Linked DNA regions of Drosophila melanogaster. Changing the gene in region 3 together with the main gene of any one other region gives a genetic interaction. Each region holds a gene or a part of one and is shown on either strand. Other genes may lie near its edges.

Region 1 (6,394 bases), on a different chromosome or scaffold from region 3:
GTCTAATTCACTAGCACATTTTACCCAGGCCTTTACGTATGCAAAAGTAAACAAGTTGCCATTGCGAAACACGTGACTGGGCCAGAAAATGGGAAAGGCGAGTATTTAGTGTGAAAGTCGAAAGTCGGTAACGGAAACCAAAAATGTGCTCGGAAAATGTAAAAGTGAGTGCAAAAAACGAGGGCGGAATGTAAATGGGACAGGGATATCTTCATTGTTGTCAAAAGGATATATGGACAAATGGAAAATAACCCTTAAATCTATTATTAAGCACTTCAAAAAAATGTCATTTTCTGGATTGTCCGTGTGGCCACATTTGACAACCAATTTGACAAGTAGATGAGATCCTGTAAGTCACCTATTTCATAAACTCTTAATGTGTGATTAAATTGAAACAGCTTGTTCTTTAATAATTGAATTTTATTCAGTTAAAAACTTATACTTTTGGTGGCAAACGCTTTAGGAAAGCTTTTTTGTTGACTTGGCTAAAAGCTTTTGTGCAATGGCTCTCAAACTGTAGCTAGCTTTCGATTGCAAATGTGGCTAACAGAATCGTGTACTCACCACTCGACGACTGTGGTGAGTTCGGTAAATTAAAAATATTTTTTTTTTTTTTTTGTTTTTTGGTTTTTCTCACCGTTGATAACCTTTATAGGTTACGGACTTAGGTTGATAATTCTAATTGTTTCAGCACTTGCTCCAATTTTGATGTGATAACATTTGACTCCCTAAATTGAATGAAATGCTCGAGAGTGCACACATGTCTAAATATTAAATGATTTGAGCAGTTGAAAAAACAAGTGCTACGAAAGTCGAACAGATGTCATTGCTTTTCAATTGAAGAAAATATGTTCAAGAATCGCACTGCGACCAATAAAACATTGAAATGAATTTGTGCACAATTTTACTAAAATTTATAATGTTATCTTATCACTAATTTATAAACTTAACACCTAGGCAAAGCTCAATATTAAGCACGTATTTGTGTATTTGGTGTCTATCTAGCTAATTTCTCCAAGTGTATACAGACCATTGCCATTATTTTCAATAGCGTATTCAACAATTTTCTGCGTGTATTTTTAGTACCTTTTCTTATCTGCGAACGGAAGCTGTGGCCACTTGTGAGCGTTCACCATTTAAATATTAAATATATTTTACATTAGCAAAGGCGAAAAAGGGGAGGAACAGGGAAACGAACCTGAGGAATGGGCCAATTATTCCAGGAGATGGGGCCCTAAAAAATCGCAACGTGTCCATTGGTCCTCCATGTGGGGCGTCGGCATCCAAGTCCGGTAATTCACCCTCACGCATGCGTCATTTTCGGATGTCATTGGGTCAGGCGCCAATGGGAAGCCGCCTTTTTGGTGGTGTTGACAGGGGGGGGGGGGGTGGTGGCTAAATCGGCTGAAGGTCACGGATTGTGGCCGGTCCTATGGCCAGTTGACAAACCGACTTAACCGCCAAAGCCGACGAGCCCGAAATGCTAATATCACATGGATGTCCGTCCTGCCAAACTTGTATTGTGTTGAATATTTAAAATAGTGCTTTGCATCAATTTTAGACCGATGACTGCACATTTAAGATGATTTGCTCACATGGTTGTATGTATGTTTTAGGTGCGCCAAGAATTAATTGTCCATAAACACTAATATTCGTAGGAACAGCGAGTAAAGGCTATAAAGTTCGTGTTTCAAATACGTTTTCACTGGTGTTTGGCTTTCCTACGCGAATTGCATCAGCATTTTATTGGACTCTCCTTTTTTTTTGAGTGTCAAATTCAAAGAACTTCAATAAAAAAATGTGCGAGGAGAGCGCCGCTTTTCGTGGGAGTGAGTGGGATAATTTGCAAACCGGCTGCCGCAGCAACAACGAAAGGTGAAAAGAGAGCAAGGAGCAACGGTTTTCACTTGTTTATCAGTTGACCCAGAGAGCGAGAGCCACTTGGGCGGGTGTTGAGTAAAAAAAAATGGGGGAGGGGGGGCTTACTATCCAACTAAAGTGATAGTTACTTTTTTTTTTCTATCGTTACGGCCTTAAATGCTGCTTTAGCCGACTGGCTAAATCGCGACTACGCTCCGCAAATAAGGATGGACAGGCAGAGCGAGAGGAGAGAGAGCAGGCGCAGCTAACTCTGCGTAAGCGGACACCCACGCATGTGAGCGAGAGAGGGATAGAGGGAGAGGGTAAGGGAGAGAGAGAGTGCGGTGCATCGACGCAACAGGCTTGCAATGGCCATTAAGCGCCGTTAAACAATAACAAGAGCACGCAAATCGCTTCGGCTCCGTCGCGCTTTCGGCCTTCGTGCGTCTTCGGGCGACGCCGGCAGAGCAGAGGCAGCGATGGGAATCGCAGCAACGGTTCTTAGACATTAGGTTGCGCGCCATCGTTCCAGGCGGTCGCACATTCCACGGTGTGCTGTCCCTTTGTTTTCTGTGTGACTCTGACTCTCTTGTGGGGAGCGTTTGTCTTTTTTTTTTTTTGAGTGCTCTCACATCCTCGAAGTGCCGAAATTTTGAAAATCCCCGACAAGATATCCTGGTGATATCGGTTCAACGTTTAAACAAAAACCCAAGCCCTGCTCCTTTTTTTTCATTCATTAACTAGTGTGATCCCAAAAAGGAACCCATACTCGCAACGAATACGAATAGTGTCCATCGCGTGTGAAACGAAACTAAAGAATAAGGAATGAAACAAGAAAATAAAGCGAAAAGGCGGAAAAGCGAACAGAAAGAGGGGAAACAAATATCGGCTCGTCCAGGAGCGAACAGATGATCAAAGGGGATCATTCGGATTTTTCGAAGAAACTTCTGAAACATGACGGTTTCTCTGGTTTTTAATTCGGATTTGGTTTCACCAAAGCCAAAAAATTTTGCTGATGTCAAATCACCGATTTGCTTCCCCTTTTTCCGTGCGCGGAGAAAAAAATCCCCAGAAACATAATATCAGGATGCTCTCTATCTCTGTCTCTGTCTAACGCTTAATTGTTGCTCAATTGCGAATTAATGTCTGGGGCTTTTTTTCTCCGTGCAGTGCCATAGCCGTAACCACAACCTGCCAGCCGTTTAAAGCCAAACTAAACAAAACGAACCGAAACTGCCTTCACAAAGTACCTAAGCCAAACCTAAATAGCTGCCAAAAGAAACCAAAACCGCCGTTACCCGGAAAAGAGATGATGGGATCGCCGGGATCCCAAGCGTCCGCGATCGCGACCTCGGTCGGAATCAGAAGCGGGCGGAGAGGTCAAGCGGGAGGATCGTTGCTCCTGCGCCTCCTTGCCGTGACCTTCGTCCTCGCCGCCTGCCACGCACCGCTGCTGACCAATGCCAAGGTGAGTTCGACCCTCTTGTTGGGATATGTAGTATTATAATTATTACATTGCTATTTGAGGCCCAGGAATGCAGTTAACAATTTGATTAGTTCTATTCGGTGACATGATCCTAACAGCCGCTTACCATTCACATGACCATTGCCCATCAGCTGATGCACATCCCATTCGAGATCGGTAACCCAATGATCTCTTATTCCGGATGACACAACTCTGGGTTCCGCGACGAACTTGAACTATTTAGCATGACACACATACGAGTATTGTTTTTTTTTCCCAATAGGCGGGACAGACAGACACAAAACGAGCGCCACCAGTGATTAGCATAAAAATGTATTTATTGTAAGTGGTTTGGAAAATAGTTTTCCTCCACTCGCCATCAAATTAGGAAGTTGAGCCGGGCTTCGAGGCTTCAGGGTTTCGGAGCTCGGTTACGGACAATGTTAAGGACCGGATTTCGAGTTGAGCAGAGGCCAAAAAAATAGATCACCAAGTCCATTGGGCCGGGGTCATCATCGCAGGTTATCACTCTCTCGAAAAAACAGACGCTGAATTAATTTCTTTTCACAAATTCGGATCGAGTTCAGATGCTGGCTTTTGAATTTGATGCGATTGTGTTCGGATGGCTTTGCCAATTATTATGAGAAGTCGATTGTTTCAGTTCCAAATTCTATCTTTGTGCCTGAAGGAGGGAGGGGTCGCTGTGTGTGTGTGTGCGAGTGTGTGTGTGTATGTTTTCCACCATAATGAGCTTTGATGATAGCGCGTTATCAGCGTGTTAATGACATGTTGCCCACAGACATTTGCTTGCAATGAAATAATTTCTTTAATTAACATTTAAAATCACTGAACGTTTGTGAATGTTTCAATGGCTTTTGTGAACGGACGGCAGTACCTGCTGGACAATTCTGGTACTCTGCTTGATTTTGTCGAGCATGTCGTTTCCATTCGATTTGTTTTGCTGCAGCGCTCACACTTTTTATCACATCGGAAGTTGCGTAAATGAGGCCAAATTCGAACACATGTACACATACATACATACGGGGGCTATGTCGCCTGCTCAGGGCTTATCGGTGGGACTGGGACTGGGAGTGGGACGGGAATGGGAGCCACACTTTGAAGAAGGAACCACTGCAAATCGGACTGCAAACGAGGTCACTGCTGCAGCACGATAGCTCCATCCTCCGCTTTTGCCCATCCGGCGTATGCGTATTGCCGGTCATCGGACATTGCGCATACGATCAGGTGGCACGGTGCCCCTTGGGGCATTCGATATCGTTTATCTTGGGTTTTATTCGTTTTTAAATTGATAGCTGAACTTGACTGAAAAGCACATATGCTAGCTATCAATAATCAGTTTAAACACCATACGTTATGTCACCATTCCTTTCTTTTTGGCAAACTGTGCAACTCGCCACTGATTCCATAGTGTTTCTTGAAAGTCTGAAGCGCAAAGTACAACTCACTGCATATGGCAACTTCTGATGCTTCAAACTGATATTCGCCTGGCAAGCGAATTGTGCTGCTCTGTTTACATCGACAGATGGGTCCTCATTCGATGGCCCTTTTCCGGCTTTCCAAGGGTATCCGATCCCTCACCCCCCACCCTTCTTGGCCCTTGGCTTGTATATCGCTCATCACATCACGCCCCGTTGTGTGCCCCGATATCTGTCAAACAAACTGTCAAAATATTTGCATCATCAACAACACAACTGCAAAGCGAATAAGAAAAAAAAAAAAAAAAAAATTAAAGCACAAAACGGCAGCCAACAGATGAGAAAATATCATTTCGCAGCTTTTTTGACTCGCCCGTATCGTTTTGGTTTCTTTTTCAGCTTTTCGGATTATGTTTTCTTTGTTTTTCATTGGTCTGAAGATGCGTTCGTTGGCACATTCCCTTCGGTTTTCAGTTCTCCTTGTTTTTCGGTTTTCTGGTTTTCTTGTTTCCGTGGCTTCACGGTTTCTGTTTGTTTGTGCAACATATGGACACAAGATGTTGTACCCCCGATCACACATGTGACCGGCTGCTTGGCTGCCTGGCTGTTTGTGTATCTGCCTCATTCTGCTGGCCTTATTGAATCGCTGGGAAATGGCCTTTAAGTTGAAAAGGCGTGGATCAGTTGATTTCAATATAAGCTAATACCTTCAATCAAGTTTCACTTGCCGAATAAAATGTTTTTTTTTTTTTTTTTTTGCAAGTAAAATATGTAACATTTGTATATAGCCCAACCTCTTTTCCTGTGTACCGAAAACATTCGCACAGCGATCACATGCAGTTTCACGGGAAGCGTCATGCGAGCATTTGTTTAAATATTACGCTGGGGCTGTCTAATACACCAACCCACCAACCCTACACCCCCCCTCACCCACTTGAGCTCAAGTTCAGACATTGACCAAGGGGCGGGGACTCGATAAGGAGGCGGGGCCGCGGGGGCAGAGACAACTGGCACACTTAAAACTGTTTATGCGAGATGTGCGAGGTGCGAGGTGCGAGTGAAGTGTCTGGCTCGCTTTTCCCTTCCTATTTGTGGAACTGTATATGAAACGCTGATTGGCGATATCGCCGAGTGTTGGCTTTGTCAAATTGGCATTGCCAGATGCCAGGCTTCCATTGCCATTAGTCACTGGGGCAGCCGCATTTGACCTGGTCGGGAGGGATCCTTAGATGCCCAGACCGGGCGATTCATTTCTGCGGATCCGGAATCTATTTTCCCTGGCTGACGTATGCATTTCTGTAAGGAAAGAACTGGTGGAATCTGGGAGTCAATGGGGAGAGGCAAGGCTATGAGGCAAGCATTTAAAAATAGATGGCGACAAGATACCAGAGACGAAAGTTTTCGATTCGAGGCGGAGCATTAAAGTTGGGAACTCGGAGTGGCTAAATCGGCCAATACCCTATAATGCAACGCGACAAAATGATGCATCGCAACACGTAGATAAGCCGAATTTTCTTGTCTTGTGAAATGCAATTAGAACGTGTTTTTTATTGCACATGTGGAATTGATTACTAATTGAAAATCAACACCTATTCTGTTGTGATACACCTGATACACCAACTGATGTTCTTTA
Region 2 (6,667 bases), on a different chromosome or scaffold from region 3:
TTCCCTTTTTAGAAAACATACTGCACTACTTTAAAACTTTTAATATGTACATACCCGACCAGAAGTACAAAGACACGATGCTAACTCAAGCCACGCAGCCCCTTCTGCGGGTTAAATCGAGCTCGGAGGGTAATCCGTAAATAAATCATTCTTGTTCTTTGTTTTAAACCTACGCTCTATTGTATGAAATCAAACAATGGCATTGGGCGGACAGTAGTATATGTTCAGGGACTTGTCCTCAGAAGCAGAGGCCACCTTGTCGTTTCCGGGGCTATATCGGACGCCCCACACCTGATCTGTGTGCTCGGCGAACGTGTGCAGGCACTTGCGTTCCGAGGTGTCCCATATTTTCACGCTGTTATCACTGGAGGAGCTGGCAAAGTGTTTGCCGTCCTCGGAGAATGCCACGCACAGCACCCAAGATGCGTGCCCAGATAGGGTGCCCACAACGTCGGAGTGGGTTCTAAAACGAGGAGATAGTAGTGCCTGAAAATGTCATAGGTGTTAAGCCACTTACACATCATAAAGCTTCATGTGACCATCATCTGAGGCAGTGAGCAGCAGCTGCGAGTTCGGAGAAAAGCAAAGGCTACGCACTGGCATCGCGTGTCCTTCCAATGTTTGCACTACCTTGCCCGCGGCCACATCGAAAATGGTAATGATACCATCGATGGCTCCACTGGCAATGTACTTGCCATCGGGACTCTAGAATAATACAGCTATAGGATTCTCAAAATGGGTTATTTACCAGATAAAGCTTACGTAGGCAATGCTAAGCGTGTATTTCCCATTTTGGGCATCCAATGTCTGCTCTGCCTTTCCGGTTTCCACACTGTACATGGAGATTTTGCCGTCGTTCAGTCCGGATATCACATATTTGTTGCAGGGTGAAAATTGCACCGTCCAGAGATCAACAGGCCCAAAGCTAAGTAGGTGTTTCTTGTCGCCCGAACGGGCATCCCACAAACACATGGTGGAGTCCAGAGAACTACTGGCAATGGCTGGAAGGAAGGCGGCACCATTAATTGATGTCCATTTCTCTATCTCCCAAGTACAGAATCTTTCAACCTACTCTGTCCATCGGAACTGACGGCCACAGAAACAACTCCCAGGGCATGTCCTTTTAGTTTGTGGCGCAACTTTAGGGTGTTGTCCTCCTGCAAGTCCCACACCTTTACCAAGTCATCCAGTCCGCCGGTGACCAAGAAATCCTTCGGGCGGGCCTCCTTCTTATCGAAATCAAAGGGATTCTCCTCGGGCTCCACGACCGCGTCATCCGGATCTGAGGCCGCAGTGTCGCGTCCCCAGGTGCACGCCCATAGCTGACTGTCGTGCGCATTTTCCTCTTTATGAAGGACAGAAAACTAGCGGAAAAAAGGGATGTATAAAAGGCACAGTTCGTTAAATATCTACTTACCATTTTAAAATGCCGGAAAAGTGTTTATTTTATGCGAACGAGAGCGATCAGCAAATTAGCTGTTATCGATAACAATGGTTGACGTTAGAATTAGTATTGAAAAGGGAGGTTTACAGTGGGTCAAAACTGTTATGCTGAATATGTTTCAATGTGAATAAATTAAACATGGAATTCTTTATATAAATGAAAGAAATAAAGAAGTATAAAACAAATTGACGTTTTTAAAATTTTTTCACAGGTAATATTATATATAACAAAATAATATTTTACTTTATTATATCTTTATTATACTTATTTAGGTAAAAAGCTTAGTTTTTAAGTAAACATGTTATATATTAAATTATTTGAATTGCTATTTATTGTTTTGGTATATTTGCCCATATGGCACACGGCATAATACCACTTTCCCGCCATGGTCACACCATCGGCTTATAGTTGCACTCCCGGCGCGGCCACACTGTTTATAGCCGTCGAGAACCGAGGAACGAACGTCGCGTTTTAAAAAACAAATCCCCAAACGACTCGGACGCGAGATCCAAGCGACTGGCGAGGAAAAGTGTAAGTGACGGGTGCAATTACGTGCCCCACGGTGCAGCCATGCCCGGATCTACCAGTGCGGTTATATAATGCGGATATAGTTATAGTTCTTAGCCCCTCGCGATACGATATCAAAAACAAAGGAACGAATAGGACCAACGCGTGTGTTCTGCTTTTCAGTTTTCGGTTCGTTTTCGATTTTTTTTCATTTTGCTGTCGTCGCCGCCGTGAATTCGAATATGTATGATTTTCTTCTATGGATCCGCGTGTCTGGAATATATTAATAAACATAAACAGTGAAGCCTCGTTCGTTCGTGTGTGTGGGGGCGGGTGTGCGTGAGCGTGAGTGCGAGTGTGTGTGTGGTTGTGCATCAGCATATTATTTATCTCACATATCATATCTTTCGACAAAATCGAAAAGATTCGAATGATTCATTCTTGTGGCAGCAGGACTCGCCGATTTGTGCACTAAACCGAAATGAAAGGCATATAGTTTTGCTGCACTTTCCATGTGTTTTTCGTGGTGTGTTTGTTTTATTGATTCCCACTTTCCCGTTCCCCGTTCTCCGTTTTCCGCCCAGTTTCCACTTCTTCCCCTCCGTACAACATTCATATTCGCGCCTGCCCCCACAACTTCGTTTCCGATTTGGTGTAAACAATAACGGCAACCGGTTTTCGCGTGCAACTTTATCTCCCTAATATCGCCATTCCTCTTATTCTTCTTCTCTTCCTCTGCTCACTTTTGTTTCGATTATAATCGCAATTTGCCGTTTTCAAAATGATATATGCAAACCCTTTCGAATAAATCAAACAGTTCCAACTGAATTTGTAAATTATCAAGGTGAGTCGCCAGCCGGGGATCAATAATGCTATATTATAAGATGAAGTGGAAGATTTGCATGTTTATGTAATCTTATCGGTATTTTATGTTAATTTTCTCACACATGTTGGGATTCATATATCTTAAGAGAGGTGTATTCATTTCATAAAACATTCTTTACTTGAGATTTGGTATATGAAAGTTAGTTATTCGTTTATTTTAACAATACTACAGGCAAACGATGTCTTCTAGGGTATGAAATGGTCCTATAGAAAGAAAGGTAGTTAGGTAGTAGTAGTGACGCTTAAAGATCCGTAAAGTTAAATGACTCTAAATCCCACAGCTTTGCTCCACTTCCATTCGTAATTCCAAAGCAAACCCATCACGGTTGCTCTTAGCCTTCGCACTAATGTGACTGGAGGATAAGAATAAATGTTTGCCCTTAAGAGGTGCTCAAAAGGCGTCAAAAAAAAAAAAAATAATAATAAGAATGGAAAAACTAGACCATAAACATAAATGCATTTCACAGCTGCCATTAGTGCACAACTTTTCACAATCGGCGAGAAAAACCAGCGCAAAAACCAAGTACGACAAAATGGAAATCCAGGGCATGCAAAAAGAAAATGAAACAGTGGCAAACTGCGGAAAAAGCCAAAGCCCAGGCGCAATGCACTCGGAAAATGGATGGAAAACCAACAAAGTTATTAGTTGAGGTGGGAATACCGCGGTTCCAAGATCGCGGGGAAATGCGAAGTCAAGTGTGGAAAAGCGCTCGCTGGGAAAAGCGTGACATAGTCAAAAGCAATGGGGGCGAAATTGGAGCAATTTGAGTCTGTGCAATGTGACATCATTGTAAGGGGCGTGACGGAGGGCGTGGCAGCAGCCGACAATGACAAGTGCCGAAGTTTTCCAAAAACAAAAGAAAGTCAAACAAGAAAGCAGGGAACATTATTGTCAAGTAAGCGAAAAGATTTGACATATTAGCCATGACATTATTTTAAAGAAATTCAGTAAATTACATGAAATATCTATCAAAGTAGATAATCAAATGATTGTTTTGAGATTATATACAGTGCTTAGTACATGAAGATAAAATAAGAATAAAATGATATATAGTGCTATTTGTAAACCCATTGTACGGGTTGAACTCTATGGAAATTACCAAGAGAGTCGCAATCACGAACATCCTCTGATAAGAATATAGCTGGAATAATCGCCATTCGTTGAACCCCCCAGTCACAAGAGCAATATATAGGAGCATTGACTTTTAAGATCGCGTTCTGATGTCGGTGCAATTTTCTTTACACCAATCAAGGCAGCCCAGAAAATGAAAATGTGATGGCGTCAAGTCATGACATTGCACTGGCAAAAGCACAAGAACAATGGGAAAGTACTCACCATTTGGATTCCAGTGGAAGAGCCAAACTTTTTGCTTGACTGAATAAATATTTCTGGTCCGATCTTTGGCATGGCCAAAAGTGTATTTAAATCCAGAGATAAGATAATAGGTGGAGCATTGCTATTTATAATAATCAACGCTGGGCTCTTTTATCACTTTCGAAGGTTGGAATGTTATTTTAAGCCTCAGCCTCGAGAAAAACACCTAATTTGGGCCCTAATTGGGGCCTCGTTTTTGTTGTTTTTTTTTTTCCCCCTTTTACTAAATATGTGGGATCAGAAAAATATAAATAATATGTATCTGTGTGCTAAATTTATTTAAATATTCTGCAATTAGCCAATCTATCATGAACTTAAAGTAAGGAATAGTTCCAATTAGAAAGTATAGATTACTTTCACATATTTTAACTGCTGTCACTCCTGTAAAACACTCCCATTTTTGTGCCCCCTTAAACCTTTGACTTTTGTTTGTGGAATGCCATAAAGTGCACTCTTTATGACCGCAATGCGTTTGCAACTGCAAGTGGAAGGCAGGGTCTTCGGTTCCTCATTTTGAGAAGCACTTGAAAAGCCATTAAACATTGCTCCAAACCCGACTCGAGTAGAATCCCCGTATCTGCCTTTCTTCCCCCAATTAACCCATAAATGGGAAATTGATATCGTTCAATGTTTTGCGTTGTGACAGTGATAAAATATCAGCCGAATTAGATAAACTTACGGTCAAGGACAAGTATCTTTTACACTCGTACTTCTATGTATTTGAAGTTTTTTCTTCAAGTTGAAAAGCGACAGAGTTAAGTTTTTCATCGCCAATGTGATTTCTTTTTTCTTTTTGGCATATGCCATTTGGGTTTTTGTTGGCCTTTCACATGATAGGCTTTTGTGTGCTATTTATCGCATTTTTATCGCCACTTTAATAACATATGCCATTCGGTCGGGAAAAATGGGTTTGTTGGGGAGTTTTGGGGCGTCAATTAGCTGTCGTCTGGGCCGGGCACTTTCACAATTTATCAAAAATACATCAAATACACACTGTTCGTTTTCAATTTCATGCTTTTTGTTGTCTGAGCTTTTCTTTCGCTCCGTCTCTTTTTTATTTTCATTTTATTTCACTTTAGAGGTGACAGGAGTTTCTTTATTAATTAAAAACGCGACAGACATCGCCGTCATCGCCGTGATGACCATGACCCAAGTGAATGAGCTCCTTTGTTGCGATGGCTGTTGTTTTTCGCTTTGTTATTTGTGCATTTTTCCATTGCAAAAGTTCGCTGATCCGGTGAATAAGATTCTGCTCTTGTCTATAATTCAGTTGAGACAACTAAGCACATACAACATGCTACTTTTGTTACGCCCGCCTTTGTGCCGGTGTGTTTGGGTTTTTAATTTGAGCCTCGATTTTCCAGTTTTACAGCCAGTGAGGCATTAACTTTGCTCATTTAGCCACTCGGTTTATTCACTCAGCCACTCACCCGTTCGCTTAGCTTCAGTCATCTATCCATCTATCGTTTAATCGGCCCTTCTGCCTTCTAGACCAAGTTTAGTTTAGGAGCCGGTTTGCGAGCTCTTAATATGATTAAGTTTTTACGCTTCGACAGCTTCTAGCACGGCTCACCTACCTTCGCTATATGTTTTCATACATATATACATAGGGGTTTGTTAGAAGCACCTACATTTGTTTACAAAACTGCACTTCATTTCCGAACTAGAAGTTTTCAATTTTCAAAGAAACCTAACTGGGAATGGGGCAAGCATTGGGGATTATCCCGAGTAATATAACTCCGTGGGGGTGTTTTATATCCACGAGTTCTTCGAATTTCGTGTCCTAATTCAATGTTATCTTTAGTACTTAATAGCAAGTTGAAACCAGATGCAAGTTAAAGTAATTCATATCTCAAAATACGCTATGGTATAAAGTTGAAGTTTACCATTAGTGCTTTATGTAATCAACTTTTGTGTTTCTATTTTTCTTGGGAAAACTGCAAGTGGTTTATTGACTAAACACCATTCGCGATTTATTGATTTGAATCGCCATGCAAACACCCCATTGCACTGGTTTCCCGTCTCTCAATTGAAATCATCCAAACAAATTGCATTTGCATGCTCGATTCCCCCGGAGTCAAAGCGAAGGCCAATTAATGGCAGTGAACAATACAATTTTCAATGAAAATTCAAAGTGCTGACAGGCGACAATGTTTGATCGCATCTGAAGGTCGTGGAATTGGCCAATGAACATAATATAAACAGATATTTCTAAATGGAGCCTCATGTCAGTGGCACTCTCAGAAATTCGACATTTCGCCCGGATGTGCCACCGTCTAAAATAAAAGCACCAATGTTCTGTGAACTTCTCGTTGTTTACAGATAAATTTGGGTATATTTATTTGTGCACCTTTTAAGTAATATATAGGTGGTAGAGAACCACATGAGTCAGTCTCCTTAATTATTTAAAAGAGTCAGGCATCGAAAGATGACGTATTTTGGCCATTGCCGAGATC
Region 3 (6,688 bases):
GCAATTTAACGTTTTCTCATTCGGCATGTAACAATTAAAAGGACTCACGCGCGTTAAAAAGTTGAATACGCTAGCATAATTTAATTTAAATAATTATTCAGAGTTGCCAATTTTTGTCACTTCAGCAATTGACACCAATCACTTTGCGATTATTAGGCAACCCTTTAAAACTACACGAACAACAGCAAATCGATTTCTCAGTTGTGTTTTAATTGCGTATTTAAAACAATTTGGATCGGGCTATGAATGGAACTGATCTCTGATAAGGATGAAGAGACTTAAAGCGTACCTAAAGGATGGCATCAATGTGGCGGCGGTAATGTGTCTGGGCGATACTATATCCCAGTTCTTTTTTGATAAGAAATCGTTGGACGAATGGGATGCGGGGCGAACCCTCCGTTTCGGCATCGTTGGACTGGTGTTCGTTGGCCCAACTTTGCGCCGGTGGTACCATTTTTTGGAGTCCCGGGTTCCCAAAACCTACTCGCCAATGCGGCGGGGCGTTACCAAAATGCTGGTCGACCAGACCCTTTTTGCGCCACCCTTTACCATGGCCATGTCTTTTTTGGTGCCACTCTCCAACGGAGAGCCCATCGACCGAATCCGGCAGCGCATTCTTGATAGCTACCTATCTATATTGGTCCGCAACTATATGCTCTGGCCGGCCGCACAGATGCTAAACTTCAGATTCGTGCCGCTGGGCTACCAGGTGCTCTACGCCCAGTTCATCGCCCTCGTATGGAACTGCTACCTCTCCATGATACTTAATAGCTAGGGCACTAAGTTCCCCGCATAAGTAATACGGTGCCTGTGTATCAAATTTAACAAATACATTATTATCCTTATCTCGACATGTGACTTCGGACTGGATTTGGTTGTCGTTTTTTTAGGGGTATTCGGCGGAAAGGCTGTACATATAGAATGGAATTTATAGTATACATGTATTATAGGCACTCGAGTTTTAATCCTACAAAGCACTTCAAAAAATTTTGCTTGAAATCTTATTTCCCTCCGTTATTAGTCGGTTGGGCATGTGCTTCTCAAAATATTTACTCGATCATTTAAATTTGAATTGGATAAGCAAGATTGTATCATAACGACGTCACGCCCAATCTAACGCCCACAATTTCTGTGGGCGTTGTGTTGTTATTTTGTTTTCATTTAATTATCTGTCATGATATTGACATACCACAAAAATTTTGCCACACCCAAACTGTTATGCCCACTCTTAAGAATTATTTTTCGATTTTATTTTATAAATTCTCTTGGCTGTTTCTATCGATTTGCCAAACGTATTTTAGCCACGCCCACTGTTCCCACTATCTGAATAACGGGTAAACCTTTTATTTCTGACATTTTAAGGCAGATTGTGGGAGGTAGGGTTAAACAACAAACGTTCTGCAACAATCTTGAAAAATGTGGCGTCACTTGAATCTACATGCTCTGAGCTCTCTAGAGTTCATAGTTCCGAAAATATCAATTCTCCATAAGTTTGTTCCTTTCTACATTTCTATTTTACGATTTAGGGGAATAAACTTTTGAAAAGTGCGTCAACGGTATCTTCTGACAGTTTCCCACAAGTTGTTGATATCCTGTTGTTTAACGTGAGATAGACGATTTATGGATAGAATTTACCTTAGTAGCGCCAAAAATACCGCAAACTGCGCACGCACGAAGCTGAGAATGTAAGCAGCCAATAGTGGAATACACTTCATGTGTACATGTGCAAATAAACACCCTGCAATTCAATTCATTTAACTTTTATCTATATGTCATTTCTTAGAAAAAATCTCTATTGCTAATCAGCCCTCAAAACAGTGAAATTATTGATTATTTTTTTTTCTTACTAACTAACTAAGTCTCTAACTACATGGTCATAACAACAATGCTTTAAATCAGATGTGTAAATATGCACATCTGCAGTCGGTGTCAGTTGAAGATATTTCAATAGGTCATAAAATGTGCACAAAGGCCAACAAAAAAAAGTTGTGCCATGAAATTTTAAATAACAAAATTATGCTTTGATACAGTTTGCGCACATATTTGCTGTGGATTGAGGAGCTGTTAGCATGAAATTCTTAAGTCCAATTTTTCAATTTACATTTTCATTGTGAACAGACCTTTATAGTCTCATCACACTATCGATATTAAAGAAAACGAATATATTAAATATATTTATTTCATTTTTTAATAATGCTCAAGGAAATTAGAGAGATAATAAATATTATCTGGCTTGGGAATCAAACCCCTTCCAAATTACTTTCGTACGAGTCATTACACAGTAACAACAAGACATTTTCCATGTACTCGTGAACATTACATTTTGAAGTGTGCCATCGGTTAATTTAGGTATCGATAGTGATAGGTATGAACGGGTCTTAGGACTAACAACTAGTTGTTTAATTCTCTCCTCTGCCTTATAGTATCGATAACATTTACATACAATGATGTGTAAATTAAAGTGTGGTGTAATTCGAAAATAGACAGAAATTATGTTCAGTGACTTGCGATGTAAAGAAATAATAGTTAATGAGTGAAATATAGGAAAACAAACAGTAAGCCGGATTTCCGATTGTTCACTAGAAAACTATCGCCGTTCCATAATTCAGATATACATACAAAATTGTCATTTTTTGCTAAATATTAAAAAAAGTGTAATAAAATCATTTAACGTTCCAGTGTATATTGCATTGCTTTAGAATTATTAAGAAAATACAAATTTTCTTTAACTGGTATACAACGTTGTATGTATGTAAAAATTAAAAACGGCCATGCAATCATTTTGTTTTATGTACTTAAGTATATATTATATTTATGTAAATAGTATTTTTAAAAAGTGTGGCTCTTATTTAAATACATTGTTAGCTGCGTTTCACACATACGAAATTAAATGCATCATGCATTGGGAAAGATAGCAGCAAAATAAAATTTGCTGTATATGATGTGCATGTGTATGCATATAAATATATACATTTTGTATAGATGTGTGTGCACCAGAATATCCCAAAAATTCCAAATGCAAAAGATCGAGTTTTACTTCTCTCAATAATCTTTGCCTAAAAACATTTAAACTAAGTGCACTTACATTTTACCGGTTTATTATATGTATTTAAATTCGGGCGCTGGCCAAATTTGTATGTATGTATGTGCAGTATGCATATATGCATTTGCAATGAAATTACCAAATATTGTGCACGCTCGCCCAAATTTGAAATCCTGGAATAGCCGTGAATATACTTTAAAACTACATAAATTCTCTATAACGAAATGGCTTGGAATAAGTGGCCTGAGTGCGAATATATGTAAGTGGAAAAAAATTGAACGTTTGGAACTGAATTTGTTCAAAGTTTTACAATTAATGTGTTAGGTAGAGGAAATTTTTTATTGCAAAAACGAGATATGCTTATATAGCATACATAGGAAACTCCTTAGCTTGGGATTTCCATTCCATTAATATTTATAGCATGATATGGATTCATGTTTAATATATATGTACAGTTGCGGTCAACATATTAGCGGCAGTAGCGGAATATATTTTGGTCGGTTATAGTCCTATTCGGAGACAGTAAATGGTAGAGCACGTTGGTTCATGAATTATGCTTTGGGTGAGATTTTCATATTAAGGAGTTGAGCCAGTATATCTGAAGCTCCATCTTCAGTTCCGTCACCGGGTTCTTGCTTTGCCGAACCAAGCGCTTGGATGCTTGGAGAGCATCCAAGTTGGACATTGAAGGCTTTCCTCGCCGCGTTTCGTTCTTTTCGACAAACAGCAGTGATTTGCGGATCATTTTGTTTGAACAACCGACAATGCGACCAATTTCAGCGTAGGTTTTACCTTCAGAGATCACGTTTTTAATCAAATTTCTTTTTTCGACGGTACAATGCTTTCCGTGACCCATGACTAGAGAATTTTTGGTCTTCGTTTGGAGCAAATTCAATTAAAACCTTTAATGCAACACCTTTTTTTCAAAATTTGTCGTAAAAAAAACCAAAGCAATCACTCCCATTAATTTTATTCAGCAAATACGTTTTCAGTGCTATTTTTGTTACCGCCTCATTTCGCGCACTTTTGCAGCAAGTGCCCAAAAACAAAAAGAACCGTTAAATTGAGAGACTAAAAATTTATTGCTCAAAGAGGCAACATATGGTACTTATTATTCATGCAATCTGGCTTAAAAAAAAAAAAATTTATAATTTTTTTTAGGATATCAATTTTCCACCTGCAGTAGTGCTATTATTTTAACCTTAACTGTAGTTTCAAAACTATTTGTACGACATCATTTTAAACTATGCGATAAACTACCCATGTTTCAGGGAAGTACACTTACAGCCAACCCACAGTTTTTGTTTTGACGTGATTAAATTTTTAAACTGAGTTTTTTTGGCTGTGAAGATTTTCAAAATTACGATTTATTGGGTGTTCACGAAATACATTTATAATCTATATGTAACAGCATTTCAATGTTTGGTGATCCACACAAATAGAATTCGAAAGAATACTATAGTCGAGTTCCCCGACTCAGATACCCGTAACTCAGCTAGTGTGAATGCGAACGCGAAATTGCTTTATTTTTCTGGGATATCAATATTAAGGAATAAAATGAGAAAAAATTTAAAATTTGTTTTAAAATGTGAGCGTGGCAGTTTTGCGCGGTTTTAGGGCGTTAGAGTGGGCGTGGCAACATAGGTTAACAAACTTTCGCTCCGTATTTGTCTTTAGAATCTGTATGCTGAATCTCAACCTTTTAGCTGATATATACAGCTGTGTTCATAAAAATAGCAGTGCTTGGGACTTGCGAGTTTAGGATAAAAAATCATATGATTTAAAGTTGTAATGGGAATTTTTTTCATAATTTTATTATTATATCAAACAATTCAACATATGTTTCACTTTTATTTTTTCAATAGATATAGATTAAAACAACATAATAGGCAGAAATTCTGGTGTTCACTGAAATAGCAGTGATATGAAAAAATAGTAACAACATGACTTAGAACTAACATAGTTTTTTTTTAATGTGTTAATTAGGGACTAATACCTGGTTGGATTGCCTTTTTTAGCCAGCACAGCCTTACACCTACTCGGCATGGAGTCCACGAGGACGTTTGGGGGAATTTTTGCCCATGCATCCTGCACAACTTGCCAAAGCTGAATCTTGGACATCGGGGAATTCTTCGACACGTATTGTTTAATGTCCCCCCACAGGTTTTCAATCGGGTTTAAATCGGATGATGGTGCTTGCCACGGCATTGCATCTATTCTATTTTGGGTGAACTTATTCTTAGCCGATTTGCTTCTGCGTTTCGGATCATTATCCTATTGGAATGTCCATTATAAGGGCATATTCCATTCAGCATATGGCAGTAAAACATCACTAGGTATATTTACATACCATTAATCATATGTATGGGACCCACACCGTTGTATGAAAAACAGGCCCATACCATATTTATGTCCACCGTGCTTAACATTCTTGAGTGTGTGGCTTGGGTTGTACTCGGTCTTTGGAGGTCGTTGGACATACTGTCGTGAACCAGTTCCAGTTCATATTTTTGACTCATCAGTCCAAAGGATATTAAGCCATTTGGAGACTGGACAGTTTCTGTAGGTTTTAGCGAAGTTTAACCTTGCGTTCATTCGTACATGGCCAGATCGACTCGGCTATTGATCCTGATCAAGAATATATTTTCTTTATATGGTCGGAAACGCCTACTTCTGCCAGTTAAATAATTATCAACGAATCTAGTATACCCTTTACTCTACGAGTAACGGGTATATATATATATATATATATATATATATATATATATAACTACTTTCCTTATTGTTTTTTCAGGTTTACATGATGGTCATACAAGTTATTGCTCCAAGTTAAATTATCTTGAATGGAACGGATAATAAAAATTGCAAGAATGACACCAACGCAAAGGAAATTTTAATATTTACGTAAAATTTCAAATAAATAAGGGACATACAAGCGCCTACAAGTAACAATTTCATAAATAAGGTAGCTTTGATAGTCCTGTTTAAGGAGCGATTGTGGAGATGAATTTTGTTCTTAGTGTGTTGTTAATAGCAATTCTTAAAGATAAGTATGATTACTGGCTGCCATCGAGGACAGGTTGTCAAACCCTGGCAGCAAATATATGGTCTGACAAGACGACTGCGCAAAATGAGCCGATAAATTTGACTAATGCAAATGCACCGATAAAGAATGCAAAGAATCTGAATTCTACGATTACAAATGTAGCTGCGTTTGACACCAAATTGAATCACCTATTAGTGGACACCATTACTGGACGAGTCTTCGTTGGTGGTGTTAACAGGTTGTATCAGTTGTCGCCTGATTTGGAGCTTTCCGAAACTGTGAAAACGGGGCCTCAAAATGATTCCGTCGAGTGTAGCATTCTTGATTGTCCATTAAATGCAGTTCGCAGTCCGACGGACAATTATAATAAGGTCTTGCTCATTGATCGTGCAACTTCAAGACTTATTGCGTGTGGATCACTATTTCAAGGTACATGCACAGTTCGTAATCTTCAAAATGTCAGCATAATTGAGCATGAAGTTCCTGATGCTGTTGTGGCTAATGATGCCAACTCCTCAACCGTAGCATTTATTGCGCCGGGACCTCCACAACATCCGGTGACTAATGTGATGTACGTCGGAGTTACATACACAAATAAT

Evidence for each region.
Region 1: of PlexA (region 3) and trol, changing one enhances a phenotype caused by changing the other (phenotypic enhancement), as found in Drosophila melanogaster (one study listed by BioGRID).
Region 2: of PlexA (region 3) and Mical, changing one suppresses a phenotype caused by changing the other (phenotypic suppression), as found in Drosophila melanogaster (one study listed by BioGRID).

What each region holds. Positions count from the first base shown.
Region 1 is NC_004354.4:2,541,399-2,547,792, reverse strand, and holds the start of trol (terribly reduced optic lobes), read left to right. Parts: upstream 1-2,365; 5' UTR 2,366-2,410; intron 2,411-2,884; exon of another isoform or gene 2,885-3,030; 5' UTR 3,031-3,169; coding exon 3,170-3,328; intron 3,329-6,394.
Region 2 is NT_033777.3:10,038,100-10,044,766, reverse strand, and holds the start of Mical (molecule interacting with CasL), read left to right. Parts: upstream 1-1,871; 5' UTR 1,872-1,975; intron 1,976-2,768; exon of another isoform or gene 2,769-2,795; intron 2,796-6,667. Other genes in the region: CG11722 (uncharacterized protein), read left to right, coding at 13-140; CG3909 (uncharacterized protein), read right to left, coding at 190-463, 518-705, 763-1,001, 1,073-1,364, 1,418-1,420. UniProt on the Drosophila melanogaster protein: Monooxygenase that promotes depolymerization of F-actin by mediating oxidation of specific methionine residues on actin.
Region 3 is NC_004353.4:1,022,830-1,029,517, reverse strand, and holds the start of PlexA (plexin A), read left to right. Parts: upstream 1-2,416; 5' UTR 2,417-2,555; exon of another isoform or gene 2,556-2,748; intron 2,749-2,982; exon of another isoform or gene 2,983-3,302; intron 3,303-5,837; 5' UTR 5,838-6,046; coding exon 6,047-6,688. Other genes in the region: mitochondrial inner membrane protein MPV17, read left to right, coding at 269-775.